Linked DNA regions of Saccharomyces cerevisiae S288C. The protein of the gene in region 1 interacts with the protein of each later gene in a biochemical or structural test. Each region holds a gene or a part of one and is shown on either strand. Other genes may lie near its edges. The genes, in order: SUP45, MTQ2, SUP35 and ITT1.

Region 1 (4,888 bases):
ATTTCAATTGAAATGGCCAATCACCGTGCCACGCGTGCAAGTCACTATGACAAACACCAGAATATTTAACGTGGACTAAAATTTCGTTAGGCTTAGGTTCCGGAACTGTGACGTCTTTATATTCCAATTTTCCATCTGTCTCATAAAAGACAATAGCCTTTTGTTTTTCAGGAATGACTTGCGAAGGCATGATGCTTTGATTTTGTAGATATGTAGTTAAATAATTTTCTTAGGTATCTTCCAATCAGAGACATTGTGAGACAGTAAAGCAGTAGTTTGCGCTAGAAATATCTTGTAGTCCCTCTTTTATATTCGTAGTATGTTATATAGATTACAATCTAGACAATACGAAGGAACGATCCCGCGTCAGCAGATGTCACAATTTGATTATTTCATTGTCACATGCTTTTTGACTCATCCTTCCGCGAAAGGAGAACTTTTTACAATGCCGCCGGCTCTGTTAGCGTACCCTTCTACAAGCAGATAGCAGAACAAACACATGATATATTCAAAAGGTGCAATGTCAGAGAACATATATTGCGCCCCTGTCCTGTAGACATCAGTCATTTTTCGCGGGACTTGAATGGCGCACCATTATCCTATACAGAAAACATTAAATTTACTGCAAAATTTTGGGCAAACGCTTGGATAGACTATGAATCCGTCATGAAGACACTACTTGTAAAATTATATATATCCTTTTTTTTCATGTGCTAGTAAGAATTAGCAACTACTTTCATTCATCTTCGACGCAACTTCGAGGAAAGCACCTTTTTACTTGCTGTAGCTCTATTCTCTTCCCCAACCACCTTTTCCTTTATTCCAAAATTTTTAAAACTTTTTCTGTTACATTATATAATCTTCTGTCTGAAATGTTTGGATATAACGCCTCTTGATCCACTTTGTATATGCGTGCTATTTATTTTCAGATTTATAAAGAGTATGAGCGTCATTTACATAAATAGCTGAAGTTATTCATGGAAAATACGAAGAGCACGTATGTGAGCCAACAGAACATTTGACGTAAGACTCTACAATGTGCCAAGAACTGGACAAGTAGAGGACTGAGAACTTTATTTCAATTCATTGCTCCTTTTTGGTGGCGCTACCTTTAGCGAAGGTCAATGATGAATGTGCACATGCTGTCGAAACCAAAAAGCAAATTCTAACCAACTTCAAAATGACATAGTCATCTGATATTTCTACTCATTATAGATAGTATGGGAGCCTTGAAACGAAAAGTAAGTAAAAAGCTGGATATGAGCAGTATGAGGTAGACCTTAGCTACATCATTTCCCCCAATAGCTGCTGCAAATATCTGGTTAAATTTGTGATTCCATGAAGAGGATAACAGACTTGTTAAAAAGCATCCTGTCAAAATCTAATTTTTGAAGGGCAGTATTCAATTCATAATTTACTTTAGCTTAGATCCTTCCAATTTATACATGGTATTATAACCAGATCATAAACTACAATCTGTCGCTACCGCATGTACGAAGAATACTTAAGTCACTTGCTCTCTCATCATTTGTACATTTTTCAGTAATACCGTTTGATAGCGCCGTCTTTATTACCCGGATTATTCCGTTGACCCTGAATGAAAAATTTTTTCAGAAATCCAGTGCTAAGCGTCAAATCAATGAAATACATCACTGTATTTTTAACTGATATACTGTTGGTGTGGCCTTAACGACACCTTTATTTCTTAATTCATTTCGGCTTGTCTCCTTATTAAGACTACAGAAATAGACAAAGGAAATACTTCAATAATGGATAACGAGGTTGAAAAAAATATTGAGATCTGGAAGGTCAAGAAGTTGGTCCAATCTTTAGAAAAAGCTAGAGGTAATGGTACTTCTATGATTTCCTTAGTTATTCCTCCTAAGGGTCAAATTCCACTGTACCAAAAAATGTTAACAGATGAATATGGTACTGCCTCGAATATTAAATCTAGGGTTAATCGTCTTTCCGTTTTATCTGCTATCACTTCCACCCAACAAAAGTTGAAGCTATATAATACTTTGCCCAAGAACGGTTTAGTTTTATATTGTGGTGATATCATCACTGAAGATGGTAAAGAAAAAAAGGTCACTTTTGACATCGAACCTTACAAACCTATCAACACATCCTTATATTTGTGTGATAACAAATTTCATACAGAAGTTCTTTCGGAATTGCTTCAAGCTGACGACAAGTTCGGTTTTATAGTCATGGACGGTCAAGGTACTTTGTTTGGTTCTGTGTCCGGTAATACGAGAACTGTTTTACATAAATTTACTGTCGATCTGCCAAAAAAGCATGGTAGAGGTGGTCAATCTGCGCTTCGTTTTGCTCGTTTAAGAGAAGAAAAAAGACATAATTATGTGAGAAAGGTCGCCGAAGTTGCTGTTCAAAATTTTATTACTAATGACAAAGTCAATGTTAAGGGTTTAATTTTAGCTGGTTCTGCTGACTTTAAGACCGATTTGGCTAAATCTGAATTATTCGATCCAAGACTAGCATGTAAGGTTATTTCCATCGTGGATGTTTCTTATGGTGGTGAAAACGGTTTCAACCAGGCTATCGAACTTTCTGCCGAAGCGTTGGCCAATGTCAAGTATGTTCAAGAAAAGAAATTATTGGAGGCATATTTTGACGAAATTTCCCAGGACACTGGTAAATTCTGTTATGGTATAGATGATACTTTAAAGGCATTGGATTTAGGTGCAGTCGAAAAATTAATTGTTTTCGAAAATTTGGAAACTATCAGATATACATTTAAAGATGCCGAGGATAATGAGGTTATAAAATTCGCTGAACCAGAAGCCAAGGACAAGTCGTTTGCTATTGACAAAGCTACCGGCCAAGAAATGGACGTTGTCTCCGAAGAACCTTTAATTGAATGGCTAGCAGCTAACTACAAAAACTTCGGTGCTACCTTGGAATTCATCACAGACAAATCTTCAGAAGGTGCCCAATTTGTCACAGGTTTTGGTGGTATTGGTGCCATGCTGCGTTACAAAGTTAATTTTGAACAACTAGTTGATGAATCTGAGGATGAATATTATGACGAAGATGAAGGATCCGACTATGATTTCATTTAAATAAATAAAAGGGGGAGAAAAAAATCGAATCAAAAAGAATTTAATCACTAGATGCCAGATTTAAATTAAATTCGCTTTTAATTTTTTGTACAATATAATATATACTTGGTAAACCTTTTGCTCTATATTGAGCTAATTCCTTTGTTGAAAGTACATAGTGGGTTTAGAGGACCGTGTATATTACGTAGAAAATACAGTGAAAGGAGAGTTTCTCTTCAAAAGCCTCGAGATTAATTATTTCTCTTTTTCTTTTTCTTCAAAGTTTCTAAGGCGTTTGTCTTTTCATGACCAATGATAGAATTATGACCTCTTTTTTTGACCAAGTTATCAGCTAAATTCACTAGCCCACCTGTCAAATATTTCTGTCTTCTATCTTTACGTATAGGCACTGATAACAATTCGTTCAACGTAGCTCTCATGGCTTTTACCTTGTCCTTATTTATAGTCTTCTGCATTTTTTTATTTTTATTTTTTAGTAAGAAAGTGTCCGAATTACTCTTTGATATATCGTCTTCGTCGGAATCAACGTCAATACCTAATTCATCAGCAGCCTTTTTTAACCAATTGTCATCTTTTCTTAGGGAATTAGAAGCAATTTCATGATCAGCCAGTTCGCCTGCTAATCTACTTCTTTCTCTGAGTTGTGAAAGTATATCGGTTTCAATTGGTAACAAAGGCACAGTGTTTTGCCACTTGATGGGTTTTCTGTTAGTTGATCTAGAGTTCAAATCCGTCGAAACACTATTTTTTGTAGCGAGAGTTTTTCTTAACTTTCTTAATGGGCCCATAGATTCTTGAGGTGAGCATATCATGGCAGAGACACCTTCAGAACCTGCTCTTGCAGTTCTGCCTGATCTATGAATATAAATATCAGTAGATCTTGGTAAGTGGTAATGAATAACGTGTTGAACACCCGGAATATCTAAACCTCTAGCAGCAACATCACTTGCAATCAATACTGTTGAGAGTTGAACGGAATCCGGATTCGAATGATTTATTGTTTTCTGTTTAGCGCTTTGTTGCTTGAACCTTTCTAAGCTTTTCAAACGGTTCTTTTGTGTCATGGAAGAATGAATTTGAAAAGCTGGGATGCCTAGGTTATTTAAGTATACGGTCAATTTCTTCACGGAGTCAATGGCATTACAAAAGATCAAAGTTGTACCTGGGAACATGGTTAAAAAGTAATAGCAGTATAGGTCACGTTCTAATGGAGGACATTCAATTAAGGATTCTTTGATTTGAGAGCTCACTTTTGACTCAGGATTTGTATCTATTATAACCGGCTTTGAGTTGAAGTGAATTTTGCTCATTAAGTGTTGTATTACGGCATTTAGCTCATCTTCGTTGTTTTTAAACCTTCTATCCTTAACTTGACGGGAAGAAGATAGCTTATCAAACAAGTCGATGGAGAATGTTGCAGAAAAGATCAAAGTTTGCCAAATTTTGCTACTGCCCTCGGAGTTTTCTCTGTTTTTCCTTCTTTCTACTAATAAATGTTTAATGATTTTTTCGAACTCGTCGAAATGACCGTCTTGTAACAGCCTATCAGCCTCATCAAGGATTAGCGTATTTACTTTCGAGAATCTTTTGATTAAAGTGTTGTCTTTTTCCAACAGTTCCAAAAATCTACCTGGTGTTGCGATGACAATTTGGCCACTATTATCGTACTTTAATAGACGTTGTTGTTTTTGGATAGAGAGTCCACCTGTCAAAGATAATATCGAGTACTGAGATTTCGCTAGAACAGGCTCACAGATCTTTTTTAAGTGGTCTGTGACTTGATGCGCCAGTTCTCTTGTAGGAGT
Region 2 (3,982 bases), on another chromosome or scaffold:
CCAAGATCGATGGCTTTAAAGAATTCCAAAACTTCAGAATATCTAAGGAGAAGATACCGCCACCCGCTTTTGACGAAACTTTTAAAAAGTTTACGTTCATCAAGATGGGGAATAAATTGATTAATAATGTTTGGAAAATACCTACTGGTCTAGATAAAATTGAGCAAGAAGTAAAGAAGCCTGAAGGTGTCTATGAAGCAGCCCAAGCGAAATGGGAATCAAAAATTTCTTCTGAAACTTCCGGTGGAGAAGCGAAAGATGAAATAATCAGACAATGGCAAACTTTACGGTTTCTAAGATCGCGATACTTGTTCGATTTTGATAAAGTTAACGAAAAGACTGGTGTTGATGGTTTGTTCGAGGAACCCAGAAAAGTGGAAGCGTTGGATGATAGTTTCAAAGAGAAACTTTTGTACAAAATCAATCAAGAGCACAGGAAAAAACTTCAGGATGCTAGGGAGTACAAGATTGGAAAGGAAAGAAAGAAGAGGGCACTGGAAGAAGAGGCTTCGTTTCCTGAAAGAGAGCAAAAAATTAAGTCGCAACGTATAAACAGCGCTTCTCAAACAGAAGGAGATGAGTTGAAGAGCGAACAGACGCAACCAAAGGGAGAAATATCAGAAGAGAATACCAAAATAAAAAGCTCGGAAGTTTCTTCGCAAGATCCTGACAGTGGTGTTGCCGGGGAGTTTGCTCCACAGAATACAACAGCTCAACTAGAAAATCCAAAAACAGAAGATAACAATGCAGCTACTTCGAACATTTCTAATGGTTCATCTACCCAAGATATGAAATAAATTATCCTCTTAATAGAAATTTTAAACTGATAAGAAATTCATGCATAGTGTCCCAAACAATTCAGATAGATTTTAGCGTACCACAGAGATCCTATCAGAGAGTAATACTTATGATGAAAACAAAAGTCAATCCATTCGGTTTAAAAAAATGACAAACCTATATTTGATTAGATTAATCAGGCGTCAATAACGTCCTTAGAAGTCCCTTTGCTAAGACTGATATCGTTGGCAAAAGCATGCTCCGAGTTTAGTATATACTTCCACTTGATAAAGTTGTAGCGCAAAGGATGCTTTTCTTAATGAGAAATTCGGTATACTACAAGAGGACATCCAATCGTGCTTACAAAATTGCCCTGGAAGACATGATTGAGAAGAAATGGCGAAATATGTCTTTTGGTCAGATAGTCTGTAATCGCATATAACAGTATGCTTGGTTTGCTCTTTATCACCACGCTTTTCCTCTCTTTCCAGCGCGAACCATGCAATGGCCAGCTTTATGAAATTTAAACCATAAAGTCATATGAGACCAGCAATCAGACCATATATAGCCGTACTATGCTATAACGGATAATTTGATAGATACTAAACAGTTTTAGTTCACATTTCTCGTCTAAAAACAATTAATTTATTATAACAGACTCTATAGACTAAATTGTATGTATTTTTTTTTTTGACAAATTGGGGGCGGTAGCCTTCCAAAGTCCAAGTGAACTTATGTTCGTTTTGTCTTCTTTTCTAATGAACACCTTCGATAAAATTCCATAAATGACGGAAAATGGTTCTAGTTACCACCTCTTAGTGTTAATACCAAGTGGAGTTGCATTCCCTCTACTAGATGTGCATCCGTTACTGTTAATTTATCATCACTATCCTGGTCGTTAGTAAGGTCTCAAAAACGTAAATAAACTTAAAAGATAATTAACCACTGAATGAACATACATTTGTTTTCCCTGGAATATAAGTCTTTGTTGAGATGGTGGAATCCCTTCTTTTTCCTCCAAAAGTTCCTTGATGTGATATACGAGATCTGATTCCTTCAGCTCAACAGAGATCTCCTTCCCAGTCAGTGTCTTCACTTTAACAATCATCGGTTACGGCTGTAAGGAAGTTAATTACCTTCCTTTATTTATTCCTCTGTCGGAATACTTCATTTGAATAACAGAATTTTGGTTTTTCAGCTAAAAGTTGTTCGTTTGCCTTCCCGAAGACGCCATCGGAATTTGATTTCATATAAATATTGATATAATTATACTCTGAAATATAATATTGATAAACTTAACACAGGGTGAGAAAGGTGAAGTATGCTACCGACCCCTTATGTAAAATGCGATTACGATAAAGTATATGAGCCTGCTGAGGATAGCTTCCTCATACTGGACTGTTTGGAAAAAGAGCATGATTTTTTGAAACAGAAATTTGGTAATCGTTTGGCCATCGTTTGCGAAATTGGTTCGGGATCAGGTATCGTCACAACATTTCTAATGCAAAACAAAATAATACCGCAGGAAAATTCCATCCACTTAGCTGTTGATATCAACCCATGGGCGCTCGAAGCAACTTTGGATACTGCGAAGTTAAATTCATGTAAAAGTTCTTTTTTAGAAGTGATTCAAGCTGATTTAAACTCCAGTATTCGGAATAATCAGGTTGATGTCCTAATATTTAACCCACCATATGTGCCAGCAGAATGTGTGCCAGATGTCCCAGGATCAAGAGAGGAGGCAGACCAATGGCTAGATTTAGCGTTATTGGGTGGAAAAGACGGGATGGCGATTACTGATAAACTGCTACGACAATTAGAACAAATTCTTTCTCCAGATGGTGTTGCATATATATTATTTTGTGCAAGAAATAAGCCTAAAGAAGTCATTAAGAGGTTTGTCGATACTTACAAATGGAATGTGAAACTTATTGAAACGAGAAAAGCGGGATGGGAAGTCCTCAGTGTGTACAGCTTTACAAGGTGACAGTTGCAAAACCTTTCACGTTATAATTGATAACCTGTGTCTTTACTCAAAGCGTATAACTATATTTCGGTTTATAAAGAAAAATTCATAGCTATGCTCATGACAGAATATCTTTTTTGAGATCTTCACCACAACCATATAAATCAACTGACCCTAGTCCGTAAACTTTCTCATAATGTAGATAACTCAAATTCTGGAAGAAGCTTCTTAGTTGCGTGTGTCTCTCGATTTTGTGAATGCCTCGTAATAATGGGAGACCATCTTTTAAAGTTGTCGGTAATTCAAGATCATCAGTTTTGGTTATTTCGTAATCTTTGAATTCTGCGATTTCATCTACCAGCGCGACGAATGAGTTCGTTTTATATACGCAATTTATTGTATCAATAACAAAGATCCACTCATTCGTAGAGGTGAAGCCTTCCATGTTGAGTAAGAGTAGCAAATCCAAAGTTTTACATACTTGCAATATTGTTTGTGGATCGACTTCTGACTGTATTTGAAGTGATTCATAAAATTCTTGCAAATTAGTTTGTAAACAGTAACTGATCATAGACCAATAGTCATTGAAATGGGACTCTGAAAATCTTAAAAGTAAAACCCTTAGTAAGATCCAGCAGCTTCCCTTGAGCTTGATATCTTTGGACACCAAATAGTGGAAAATGCAACTTATTAAAGAGGAAAAGTGCAACAAATATGCGTCATTTGGCGATACCATCAACAAGTACGATATTTTCAAAAGGTTTTGGCACTTGTACTCGACTTCAGAATCGCTTCCTAAGTTAAACGTGATTAAAGTCGGAGTCACACTTGAACGCTTGGAGCCAATTTCTAATAGTAAATCGTTCAAGATTTTTGACTTATTTTCTGGATAAATGGACCATTCGTAAATAATCTTTTCCCAAGTTTGATCGCTGCCAATTACCGAAAGTTTTTTGTCATTTTGGAACAATTCCGCAATTAAAAGCCTCCAACTTTTAACTTTTGAACCTAAATGGGATACGACCGCGGCCAATTCTAAGACATAACCTGGAATAGTTTTTTCACTTTTGGGTTTGATATAAGGGGTTAGGCATTGATTTACAATTGTCGCTAACGTTGTATTAAACTTGTCTCCTCCAATTTGATCGTTGACGATATATTGAACACGCCATACTACAAATTCTAAATCTTTAAATGAATCAGGGTGGCCACGATATAAGTTCGTAAAGTTTATAAATG
Region 3 (5,575 bases), on another chromosome or scaffold:
GGTACTCTAACAGACGGTGATGGATTGCTCATCTTTAAACCGGCCTTTCCGCAGGAACTGGAATTCTACAAAGCCATACAAGTGAGAGATGTGAGTCGAAGAAAGTCTTCGGCTGATGGAGATGCTCCCTTGTGCTCTTGGATGCCCACGTATCTTGGAGTCTTGAATGAAGGGGCAAAAATCGAGCAAAGTGGCGATGCTGCGCTTCTGAAGATAGATGAGCGGTTAAGTGATTCCACTGATAATCTTGATTCAATACCTGTAAAGTCTGAGAAGTCCAAGCAATACCTCGTTTTAGAAAATCTACTATATGGATTTAGTAAACCTAATATACTTGATATAAAATTAGGCAAAACTTTGTATGATTCGAAGGCATCATTGGAAAAAAGAGAGAGAATGAAAAGAGTCAGTGAGACGACGACTTCAGGATCTTTGGGTTTCAGGATATGTGGCATGAAAATACAGAAAAATCCCTCTGTGCTGAATCAGCTTTCGCTCGAATATTACGAAGAAGAAGCAGACAGTGATTATATCTTTATAAACAAATTGTATGGTCGTTCAAGAACCGATCAAAATGTTTCAGATGCAATTGAACTTTATTTTAACAATCCTCATCTGTCGGATGCGAGAAAGCATCAACTGAAGAAAACATTTTTGAAAAGATTGCAGTTGTTTTATAATACTATGCTAGAAGAAGAAGTTAGAATGATATCAAGTAGTCTTTTGTTTATTTACGAAGGAGACCCGGAGCGATGGGAATTACTAAATGATGTTGACAAACTTATGCGAGATGATTTTATAGACGATGATGACGACGATGATGATAATGATGATGATGATGATGATGATGCCGAGGGAAGCAGCGAAGGACCAAAGGACAAAAAAACAACTGGTTCTTTGAGTTCCATGTCACTAATAGATTTTGCACATTCTGAAATAACGCCGGGGAAGGGTTATGATGAAAACGTGATTGAAGGAGTTGAAACCTTGCTAGATATTTTTATGAAATTCTAGATATATTGAGAGGTGAAGTTTACCTTGTTTATGGTATATGGTACAAAAAGAACTAAACTAATTATACGTCTATATATATATATATATATATAACAGCTTTATTAAACCTTGTTTTTTAATATAGAAGAAAATGCTTTATGATCGGTATTATTGTGTTTGCATTTACTTATGTTTGCAAGAAATTTACTCGGCAATTTTAACAATTTTACCAATTGCTATTGTGGTACCTTGATCTCTCAAAGTGAATCTACCTAATTGAGGGTAATCTTGGTAAGTTTCCACACAAACTGGAGCTTCAGTTTCTAAAACAGCGATGACCTTCATACCCTTCTTAGCAAAAGCAGGTGGTTTCTTTGACTTACGGTTGGTACCCTTTTCTAATTTGTGCAATAACTTAACAATATGTACCTCTTCAATTGCTGTATGAACATGCATAACACATGAAAAACCGGCTGCTATGATAGATTTTAATTCTACAATAGCAATTTGAGCTACAAACTTGGTAACACTCTTGATAGGGTTCTTTGGCGATGTTAGTACAAAACCTGGTGAAATGTCTTCTTCTTCAACACCTTTGATTCTTAGTTTAACTTGCTCACCACACATAGCCATATCAACTTCATTTTCAGTTTCGTTGTAAATATTTTGAATTTCCACAGCGGTTTTGTTAGGCATCAGTAGGGTGGATTGACCCTTTTTGATATGACCGGATTCAATTTTACCTTCAACGATGGTACCTAGATCCTTCATCTTAGCGGCAATAGGCAACATGAATGGAGCATTGATGTGACGGTCGACGTGGTTCATTGTATCCAGATATTCTAACAGAGTTGGGCCGGTGTACCATGGGCATTCTTTTGGATCTACGTGATCTTTCAAATTTGCACCACTGTAGCCGGATACTGGCATAAATACAACGTCTGTCTTAATGTTGTAACCAATTGCTCTCAAGAAATTGCTGACATTACTCACACATTGGTCGTAACGTTCCTTAGACCAGTTAACGGTTGGGTCATCCATCTTATTTACGACGACAACCATCTTATTAACACCTTGGGTCTTGGCCAATAGGGCGTGTTCACGAGTTTGACCACCTCTCTCAAAACCGGTTTCGTACTCACCCTTTCTGGCGGAAATGACCAAAACACCAACATCAGCTTGAGAAGCACCACCGATCATCTCGGAAACGTACATTTTATGACCAGGAGCATCCAATATGGTATAACGCCTTTTTTCAGTTTCAAAGTAGGCCTTACCAACTTCGATAGTCTTACCATCATTTCTTTCTTCTTTGTTGGTATCCATGACCCATGACAAGTACCAACCTTGTCTGCCTGCATCCTTGGCTTCTCTTTCATATTTCTCAATAGTTCTCTTATCCACAGAGCCAGTCAAGTATAGTAGATTACCACCCATAGTAGATTTACCGGCATCAACATGACCCATGAAAATTAAAGAAACGTGATCTTTACCACCAAACATATCGTTAACAACTTCGTCATCCACTTCTTCTTCCTGTTCCTTGATCAAGGCATCAGCACTGGTAACATTGGCATTGTTGGTATTATGTGTTGATTCAGAGATTTTAAGGTCTTCTACCTTTGGAAGTTCCGATTTTTCCTCCGTCTTTTCTTCAGTCTGGACTGGTTTCTCCTCCTTTTTAACTGGTTCTTCGACCTTTGTTGGCTCTTTAGTTGGTTCTTTGGTTTCAGCAGACTTCTCTTCCTCTTTCTTATCAGATTCGGCAGGTTTTGTGCCAACCTTCTTGGTAGCATTGGCCAACTTGATACCGGAACTGGAGACAAGCTTCAAAGTCTTCTTTGGTTTGGGAGCGGCCTGCTTTTGTTGCTTTTGAAAGTCGTTCAAAGACATACCTTGAGACTGTGGTTGGAAACCAGCTTGATATCCTTGCAAATTGTTATTGTAGTTGAAGTTTTTGTAATTTCCACGGCCACCTTGTGGATTGAATTGCTGCTGATAACCGCCTTGAGGATTGTACTGTTGATAGCCTCCTTGAGGATTATACTGTTGCTGGTAACCGGCGTCGGGATTGTACTGTTGATAGCCACCTTGTTGGTACCCAGAATAACCTTGGTAATTTTGGTAGTACCCACCTGCAGGTTGGGCTTGAGCATTGTAAGCTTGATAACCTTGGTATCTGTTGTTACCTTGTTGTTGGTTACCGTTCTGGCTGTATTGCTGGTAGTTTTGCTGATTGTTGCCTTGGTTTGAATCCGACATTGTTGCTAGTGGGCAGATATAGATGTTATTCCGAGCAAGTCGATGAAGAAACCGCTTTTTGTTACAGTACAATGGAGTCTTTCAAGAGAAGATGTACCAATATACACTACACTCTTCAGAAGCAATGGGAGCTTTGGTCGAGTGAAAAAAAAATTTTCTCCATAAAGAAAGATCATATTATACGATGATGTAAGATATAATACCCGGTTGTAATGTACATTTAAGAGCAAGGTAAGAAGTGACAATAACTTCTGTATGATCTTAGCATGTACCTCTTTTGGTGGGCTGAGAACTAAGATTCATCTTTTTGCGGAAGAATTTTGCTATGAACTTCACAACTTTATGAAGTGGTTTAAGAGAATTACAAAAGAAATGACACAGACTCGAACACTGTGACGCGTCGTCTTAGTAAAAAATAATAATTTGAGTCAAATAGCGCAGCTAATGCGAAACAAAGAAATGAAGCATATACCATTCGTTGTATGATTTTTGTGTGGTTGACAGATATTCTGCCGAAATTTTAACGCTTATTATAAATATAAATGTATGTATGTGTGTATAAACAGATACGATATTCAATTTTCTACCGTAGGGTTGGGATTTTCTTCAAACTCCAATTCTTCGTCGGGTATTTCCTCAATGGCGATCCTCTTTTTTGGCTTCGGCTTTTCAGTGTCATTGACAATTTTAGGCACCTTAATTTGTAGTAGACCGTTGTTGTAAGTAGCTTTAATTTCTTCGTCCTTAATGCGTGGCAGCACGGGGAATTTAACGGTTCTCTCAAACGCACCATATTTTAGTTCCGTGATCTTCAAGAATTTTTCATCAATGCCCACTCTGTCTTCGATCTTACCCTTGATGAGCATCTCATGAGAAGATGGATGGTAATCAATGTGGAAAGCCCTAGAGTTAGCACCTGGTAACGCAAGAACAACTACGTAAGTGTCCTCGGTATCATAGACATTCACTTCTGGTGAAAATGGTAAGTCCATTCTCGTTTCAGGCTTGGATACTTGTAACGGGTCAGGTATTGGGGAAGGCGCTTGTAGGTGAGCGAACGATGAAGATTTTTTGGCTAATGGTGGTCTCGACGATTCCTCCAGCTGATTCAAAGGTTTTTCTTTGTTGGTTTCGCCAGCTTCCTCTTTGGGTGCTTCAGACTTATCCTTCTTATCCTTTTCTTCTCCCTTTTCGCCCTCCTGTTCGGTATTTGCTTCAATTTCTGGTTCAGTGCCTTCATATGGTGGAACACCTATTAACGCGGTTAATAAGTCGTTTAAACTGTTTGCCTGTTGGTTGGTCCTATTATTCCTGGCAGTATTACAATGGTAATATGATGGATATCTTCTCGAGTTGCTGTCCTCGCCACCATCTTCCTGTCTTGTAGTGCCGCTGTCACCCACCATATCTTCGTCTTGGTCCTCTTCTTCACCATCCTCGTCATCATAACCGTATTCAGGACTATAGTAATAGGCTTGTCCAGGGAACTGGTAGTAATAGGTATTAGGAACACCATTGTATCTGCTATACAATGGATGATGACGAGGATGATGCCCGCCAACGTGCACTTGTCCATAATGGGGATGGTATCTCTGTGGCCTTTGTGGTTGGCGAGGATATCCTTGCTGCCCTCTCTGGCCAGTTTGGTTGGATAATGCGTTCAAAACGTCATAAAGAGATAGGGATGGTTGATAAAAACTCATTGCTTCGGCTTGGTATGATCTTAATTTGTGTGGGATATGGACAATTGCCTGAACGTGTCCCTATGTTATGTATAATTATACTTCTTGACCGTATGTATGAGAATAAAAGATAGTTCCTGCCGGGATCAAAAAAACGATGACAGCAAGTCTTATATAACTAACTTCACAGAGGCCTCCCCCCTGCCGCCAAGGCCGCCCCTGTATTCGCCCCTGAGCAGTTCTCAATTCGCGAACCTTCCAGAACTTTTAAGCGCGTGTTCCAGGCGTTGCCGCCTAGCCACTGTTGGCCTCCGCCAAATTACTCCGGCAACACACCTATATAACTGCTCGAGCGGCTGATAGGGAAAGCTGAATTGAAGTATGTCATATCCTGTTTTAAACAAGTCTCGTTTTATGCTACTCTTCTCGAGAGCCAAGCATTACCATTCCATCTCTTGCTATTTTATTGTTCTTCTTAAAATGTTCACTTTTTCCCTTGCTCACTTGTTACCCAACCCCAGCTAAATATTAAAAATTTGGAAGAGAGTTTGGACAGTACACTACGTATTGAAGTACTCTTCAATTCAGGCGCGGCCTAAATTGTAAGTGATCTGGCAAGATGATATCCAGGAATGAAA
Region 4 (4,957 bases), on another chromosome or scaffold:
ATACTTTATACAAATATACAAAGGCAAGGAAGGGATCATCCACCATGATTGATGCTTTAGAACCATTCGTTAAAGAATTTACTGCATCTAAGGATTTCAATAAGGCGGTAAAAGCTGCAGAGGAAGGTGCTAAATCCACTGCTACATTCGAGGCCAAATTTGGCAGAGCTTCGTATGTCGGCGATTCATCTCAAGTAGAAGATCCTGGTGCAGTAGGCCTATGTGAGTTTTTGAAGGGGGTTCAAAGCGCCTTGTAAGTACTTGGCTCACGAATACATATCAAGATACTTATGATATATATATATAGAAAAAGCTTACTTTTCTTGGAGTTATTGTTATTATCATCGCGAAGAACGATTGTATAACCCGGTTCAACGCGAAACGAATCGTTAAACTGGTGAAATGTTAACGCGAGTGTCAGAGATATACATAGTATGAGAGTAGCTAGATGTTGAATCGGTGGTAAGAACAAGAAGGAAATACCGTTAACAAGTGAAGGAACAATCTAGTATTGTTGAACAAGAATTATGAGTACCGACTTTGATAGAATTTACTTGAACCAATCTAAATTTAGCGGTAGATTCCGTATTGCTGATTCTGGGTTAGGGTGGAAAATTAGTACCAGTGGTGGCTCTGCAGCAAATCAGGCAAGAAAACCATTTTTATTACCAGCCACAGAATTATCTACCGTCCAATGGAGTAGGGGCTGCAGGGGTTACGACTTGAAGATAAATACCAAAAATCAAGGTGTTATCCAACTAGATGGATTTTCTCAGGATGACTATAACTTAATCAAGAATGATTTCCATCGCCGTTTTAATATTCAGGTAGAGCAAAGAGAACATTCCTTACGTGGTTGGAACTGGGGTAAGACAGACCTTGCCAGGAATGAAATGGTTTTTGCTTTAAATGGTAAACCAACTTTTGAAATTCCTTATGCTAGAATAAATAATACAAATTTGACCTCTAAAAATGAAGTAGGAATAGAATTTAATATTCAAGATGAAGAGTACCAACCAGCCGGTGACGAATTGGTAGAGATGAGGTTCTATATTCCTGGTGTTATTCAAACAAACGTCGATGAAAACATGACCAAAAAGGAAGAGTCAAGCAACGAGGTCGTACCAAAGAAAGAAGATGGTGCTGAAGGAGAAGATGTACAAATGGCAGTAGAGGAAAAGAGTATGGCAGAAGCATTCTATGAAGAACTAAAGGAAAAGGCAGACATCGGGGAAGTCGCTGGTGATGCAATAGTTTCCTTCCAAGACGTCTTTTTTACCACGCCAAGAGGTCGTTATGATATCGATATTTACAAGAACTCCATTAGACTCAGGGGTAAGACCTATGAATACAAATTGCAACATCGTCAAATACAAAGAATTGTTTCGTTACCAAAGGCAGATGATATCCATCACTTATTGGTTTTGGCAATTGAACCTCCTTTACGTCAAGGACAGACCACCTACCCCTTTCTTGTCTTACAATTTCAGAAAGATGAGGAAACAGAAGTGCAATTGAATCTAGAAGATGAAGATTATGAGGAAAATTATAAGGATAAATTGAAAAAACAATATGATGCTAAAACTCATATAGTTTTAAGTCATGTATTAAAAGGTCTGACTGACCGTAGAGTCATTGTTCCTGGAGAATATAAATCCAAATATGATCAGTGTGCAGTTTCATGTTCTTTCAAAGCAAACGAAGGTTATTTGTATCCATTAGATAACGCTTTCTTCTTTTTAACTAAGCCAACTTTGTACATACCATTCAGTGATGTTAGCATGGTAAACATTTCAAGAGCAGGACAAACTTCTACGTCATCGAGGACGTTTGATTTGGAAGTGGTACTGCGTTCAAATAGAGGTTCTACCACTTTTGCCAACATCAGTAAGGAAGAGCAGCAATTATTGGAACAATTCCTAAAGTCTAAAAACCTAAGGGTGAAGAATGAAGATAGAGAGGTACAAGAAAGGTTACAAACCGCTTTAGGTTCAGACAGTGACGAAGAGGATATTAATATGGGTTCCGCTGGTGAAGATGATGAATCAGTAGATGAGGATTTTCAGGTCAGCTCTGATAATGACGCAGACGAAGTTGCAGAAGAGTTTGATTCAGATGCGGCTTTAAGTGATGCTGAGGGGGGTAGCGACGAAGAAAGGCCTTCGAAGAAGCCTAAGGTAGAATAGTAATAATTTTAGACTGTATAAGTTAAATTTATTGATATTGTGTAAAAACTAACTAATATATTTTGCCAATTGATATTATCATGACATGGTGAGTGTAAGACACCACCTCTTAATTACTGGTGTTATTCTATACATTTATTTGAAATTGGTTTTGTTTTGCAAAATATTTATGTTTTGTTAATCTCCTCTACCCTTTCAATGCTTGAAAAATACTTTCAACTTTTCGATTGGGTGATGAAAAAAAGACAAATAGTGTAAAGGGTTCAAAAATAAATAACAAGCAAGAGAAAGGGACTTTGCTTTTCTCATTTAGTCACCAGTAAGTTATGTCATGGTGTAGAATAACGAATTACAGAAAACTAATATAACTGATGAAAGACCAGGGAGTAAAATGGCTTTGACTCAGTTTGAAAATGATTTGGAAATATTAAGAGATATGTACCCAGAACTGGAAATGAAATCGGTAAAAGTAGAGGAGGAAGGTGAATTCCCTCAAAGAATTAACGGAAAGTTACTGTTCAAGATATCACTATTGGCCGATGTAAATATTGAGTTCGGCGAGCAACATATGTTACTTTCAAACTTATCTAATGAATGCGTGGAGTTCACCATATATAGCTGTCATTATCCGGACATTCGACGGTGTGTTGTTATGGATATCAAATCCTTATGGATATCAACAGATGAAAAGAAGATGTTAATTGACAAAGCGCTGAGACTCGTTGAAGAAACTGTAGATATGAGTATTGAGTTCGCGGATTCGTTTACCTCCATCCTTATCCTCATCTTTGGGTTTCTTATAGATGATACAGCTATATTACTATTCCCTAATGGAATAAGAAAGTGCCTGACACAGGATCAGTATGACTTGTTTAAGCAGATAAGTGAGGAAGCCACCCTCCAAAAAGTGAGCAGATCTAACTACCATTGTTGTATTTGTATGGAAATGGAAAAGGGTGTTAGAATGATCAAATTGCCATGTGAAAATGCGAATGTAGAACACTATCTTTGCAGAGGATGCGCCAAATCTTATTTCACTGCAATGATTCAGGAAAACCGAATATCCAGTGTAAGATGTCCACAATGCGAATACAAAGAATTAAAACTAGAAGATTTCAAGAGCTATAAAAAAATGCTGAAGGCATTGTTTACACCTTTGATTCCAGTGTCCTTCTTAAAAGAGGTTATCGATACAGAGCTATGTGAAAGATACGAAAAAATGTTCTACAACCAGGCGGCTACAAGACTCTCAAAATATTGTCCGTATGCTTGTGTGACTTGTCGAAGATGTGATAGTTGGTGCACAAAAGAAGACCTCGATGATGCGATGATTCAGTGTCAAAAATGTCATTTTGTATTTTGCTTTGACTGCTTGCATGCCTGGCATGGTTACAACAATAAATGTGGCAAGAAAGTTTCGTTATCGACCGATATTATTGAGGAATATCTAGATGATACCGTTACTTCATATGAGAGAAAGCGGAAACTGGAGGCAAAATATGGGAGAAGAGTATTAGAACTTGAAGTCAATGATTACCTTGCTGAAAAAATGTTAGATTTAGCGATTAAAAAAGAGGGTTCGAATTTGCAGCGATGTCCAAAGTGTAAGGTAGTTGTAGAAAGAAGTGAAGGTTGCAATAAAATGAAATGCGAAGTATGCGGGACGCTGTTCTGTTTTATATGCGGAGTATTACTTTATCCTGAGGACCCTTATGAACATTTTAGAGAAGCATATTCAGGCTGTTATGGACGATTGTTTGAAGGTATGCCTGGCACAGAAACTTGAGTGCGATCGCTCTGCCTTCAGTCTCACACTTTTTCTTATAATCTATTGTCATGAAATTTATACAGATGAAAATGAAACGTTATCTTGGGTATACTGCATTCTCTTTTCTTTTACATATCTACCTATCTAAAATACCCTTAGTTTTATCATCTGGCTGATAACGCAAGGACCACTTAGGTCCCATGATGGTGATAAGAGCCATATCCAGTAGTGTGAAAATCCACGAAGCACAGTAGACCAAAAATGAGCAGATTGCCACTAATCTGACCAAAAACTGTATAAAGCTTAAACGAACATCAGAAACTACTATGGATAATGGTTCGAAATTGTATTTGAAGAAGATGCCCGGCATTTTATCACCTTTAGCAGCGACATCTTTGTACAAATAGCGGTAATCGTTAACAGAATATTGATTAGTATCCACTTCTGCCCCCAATTTCTTGAAAAGAGTGGGCACAACAGATGTGTAATAGACGTAAGTAGTTAAAGGTTCATCCTGATTAAACTGTGCAGTGTTATCCAATGGGTTATCAATATATGGATAGAAATCACCAAAAGAGAACTCATTAATAACATGATTAAATTTTAATTCTTCCAGTGGTGCTTTGCGTGAAGCCACGTAACCTAAACTCTTCGCTGTAATCTGCAATTCGCCACTAACTCTATTTACCGGAATGGACCCAAATACATGGCACCCATTGAATTCCGGAAGATGTGCCTTGTTAGGATCACTTTCATCAAAAAATGACCTAGTATCTAGTTTTTCTCTAAATTCTGCTGGGATAGCTTCCCCTAAGATTTCATCCAATTCCGGCGTAATAATTTCATTGATATCATTGACTTTTGTGTCATAAGGAATAAAGAATGGCATCTCTTCCAATTGCAATTCCTCTAATACAAGTTTCCGATCCATTGTTTGGTCTCTGACGTTGATTTGCAACCAATCACATTTCGTGTTGACGTATATATCCATATTAATTTGAAC

Evidence for each region.
Region 2: of the proteins of SUP45 (region 1) and MTQ2, one has a biochemical effect on the other in vitro, tested with the Saccharomyces cerevisiae proteins (one study listed by BioGRID).
Region 3: the proteins of SUP45 (region 1) and SUP35 form a complex in vitro, tested with the Saccharomyces cerevisiae proteins (6 studies listed by BioGRID, with this or other methods).
Region 4: the proteins of SUP45 (region 1) and ITT1 form a complex in vitro, tested with the Saccharomyces cerevisiae proteins (one study listed by BioGRID).

Annotation. Positions count from the first base shown.
Region 1 is NC_001134.8:529,064-533,951, reverse strand, and holds SUP45 (translation termination factor eRF1), read left to right. Parts: upstream 1-1,769; coding exon 1,770-3,083; downstream 3,084-4,888. Other genes in the region: alcohol dehydrogenase ADH5, read right to left, coding at 1-190; YBR144C (uncharacterized protein), read left to right, coding at 403-717; MAK5 (ATP-dependent RNA helicase), read right to left, coding at 3,314-4,888. UniProt on the Saccharomyces cerevisiae protein: Component of the eRF1-eRF3-GTP ternary complex, a ternary complex that mediates translation termination in response to the termination codons. The eRF1-eRF3-GTP complex binds to a stop codon in the ribosomal A-site.
Region 2 is NC_001136.10:732,040-736,021, forward strand, and holds MTQ2 (S-adenosylmethionine-dependent methyltransferase), read left to right. Parts: upstream 1-2,098; coding exon 2,099-2,764; downstream 2,765-3,982. Other genes in the region: HPR1 (Hpr1p), read left to right, coding at 1-797; NEDD8 family protein RUB1, read right to left, coding at 1,579-1,663, 1,737-1,885; DOP1 (Dop1p), read right to left, coding at 2,862-3,982.
Region 3 is NC_001136.10:806,004-811,578, reverse strand, and holds SUP35 (translation termination factor GTPase eRF3), read right to left. Parts: upstream 3,256-5,575; coding exon 1,198-3,255; downstream 1-1,197. Other genes in the region: ARG82 (inositol polyphosphate multikinase), read left to right, coding at 1-1,014; heat shock protein HSP42, read right to left, coding at 3,831-4,958. UniProt on the Saccharomyces cerevisiae protein: GTPase component of the eRF1-eRF3-GTP ternary complex, a ternary complex that mediates translation termination in response to the termination codons UAA, UAG and UGA.
Region 4 is NC_001145.3:134,973-139,929, forward strand, and holds ITT1 (RBR-type E3 ubiquitin transferase), read left to right. Parts: upstream 1-2,577; coding exon 2,578-3,972; downstream 3,973-4,957. Other genes in the region: DAK1 (dihydroxyacetone kinase), read left to right, coding at 1-257; FACT complex subunit POB3, read left to right, coding at 528-2,186; ERV41 (Erv41p), read right to left, coding at 4,091-4,957. UniProt on the Saccharomyces cerevisiae protein: E3 ubiquitin-protein ligase involved in translation quality control. Involved in the rescue of stalled ribosomes by promoting ubiquitination and degradation of proteins on stalled ribosomes.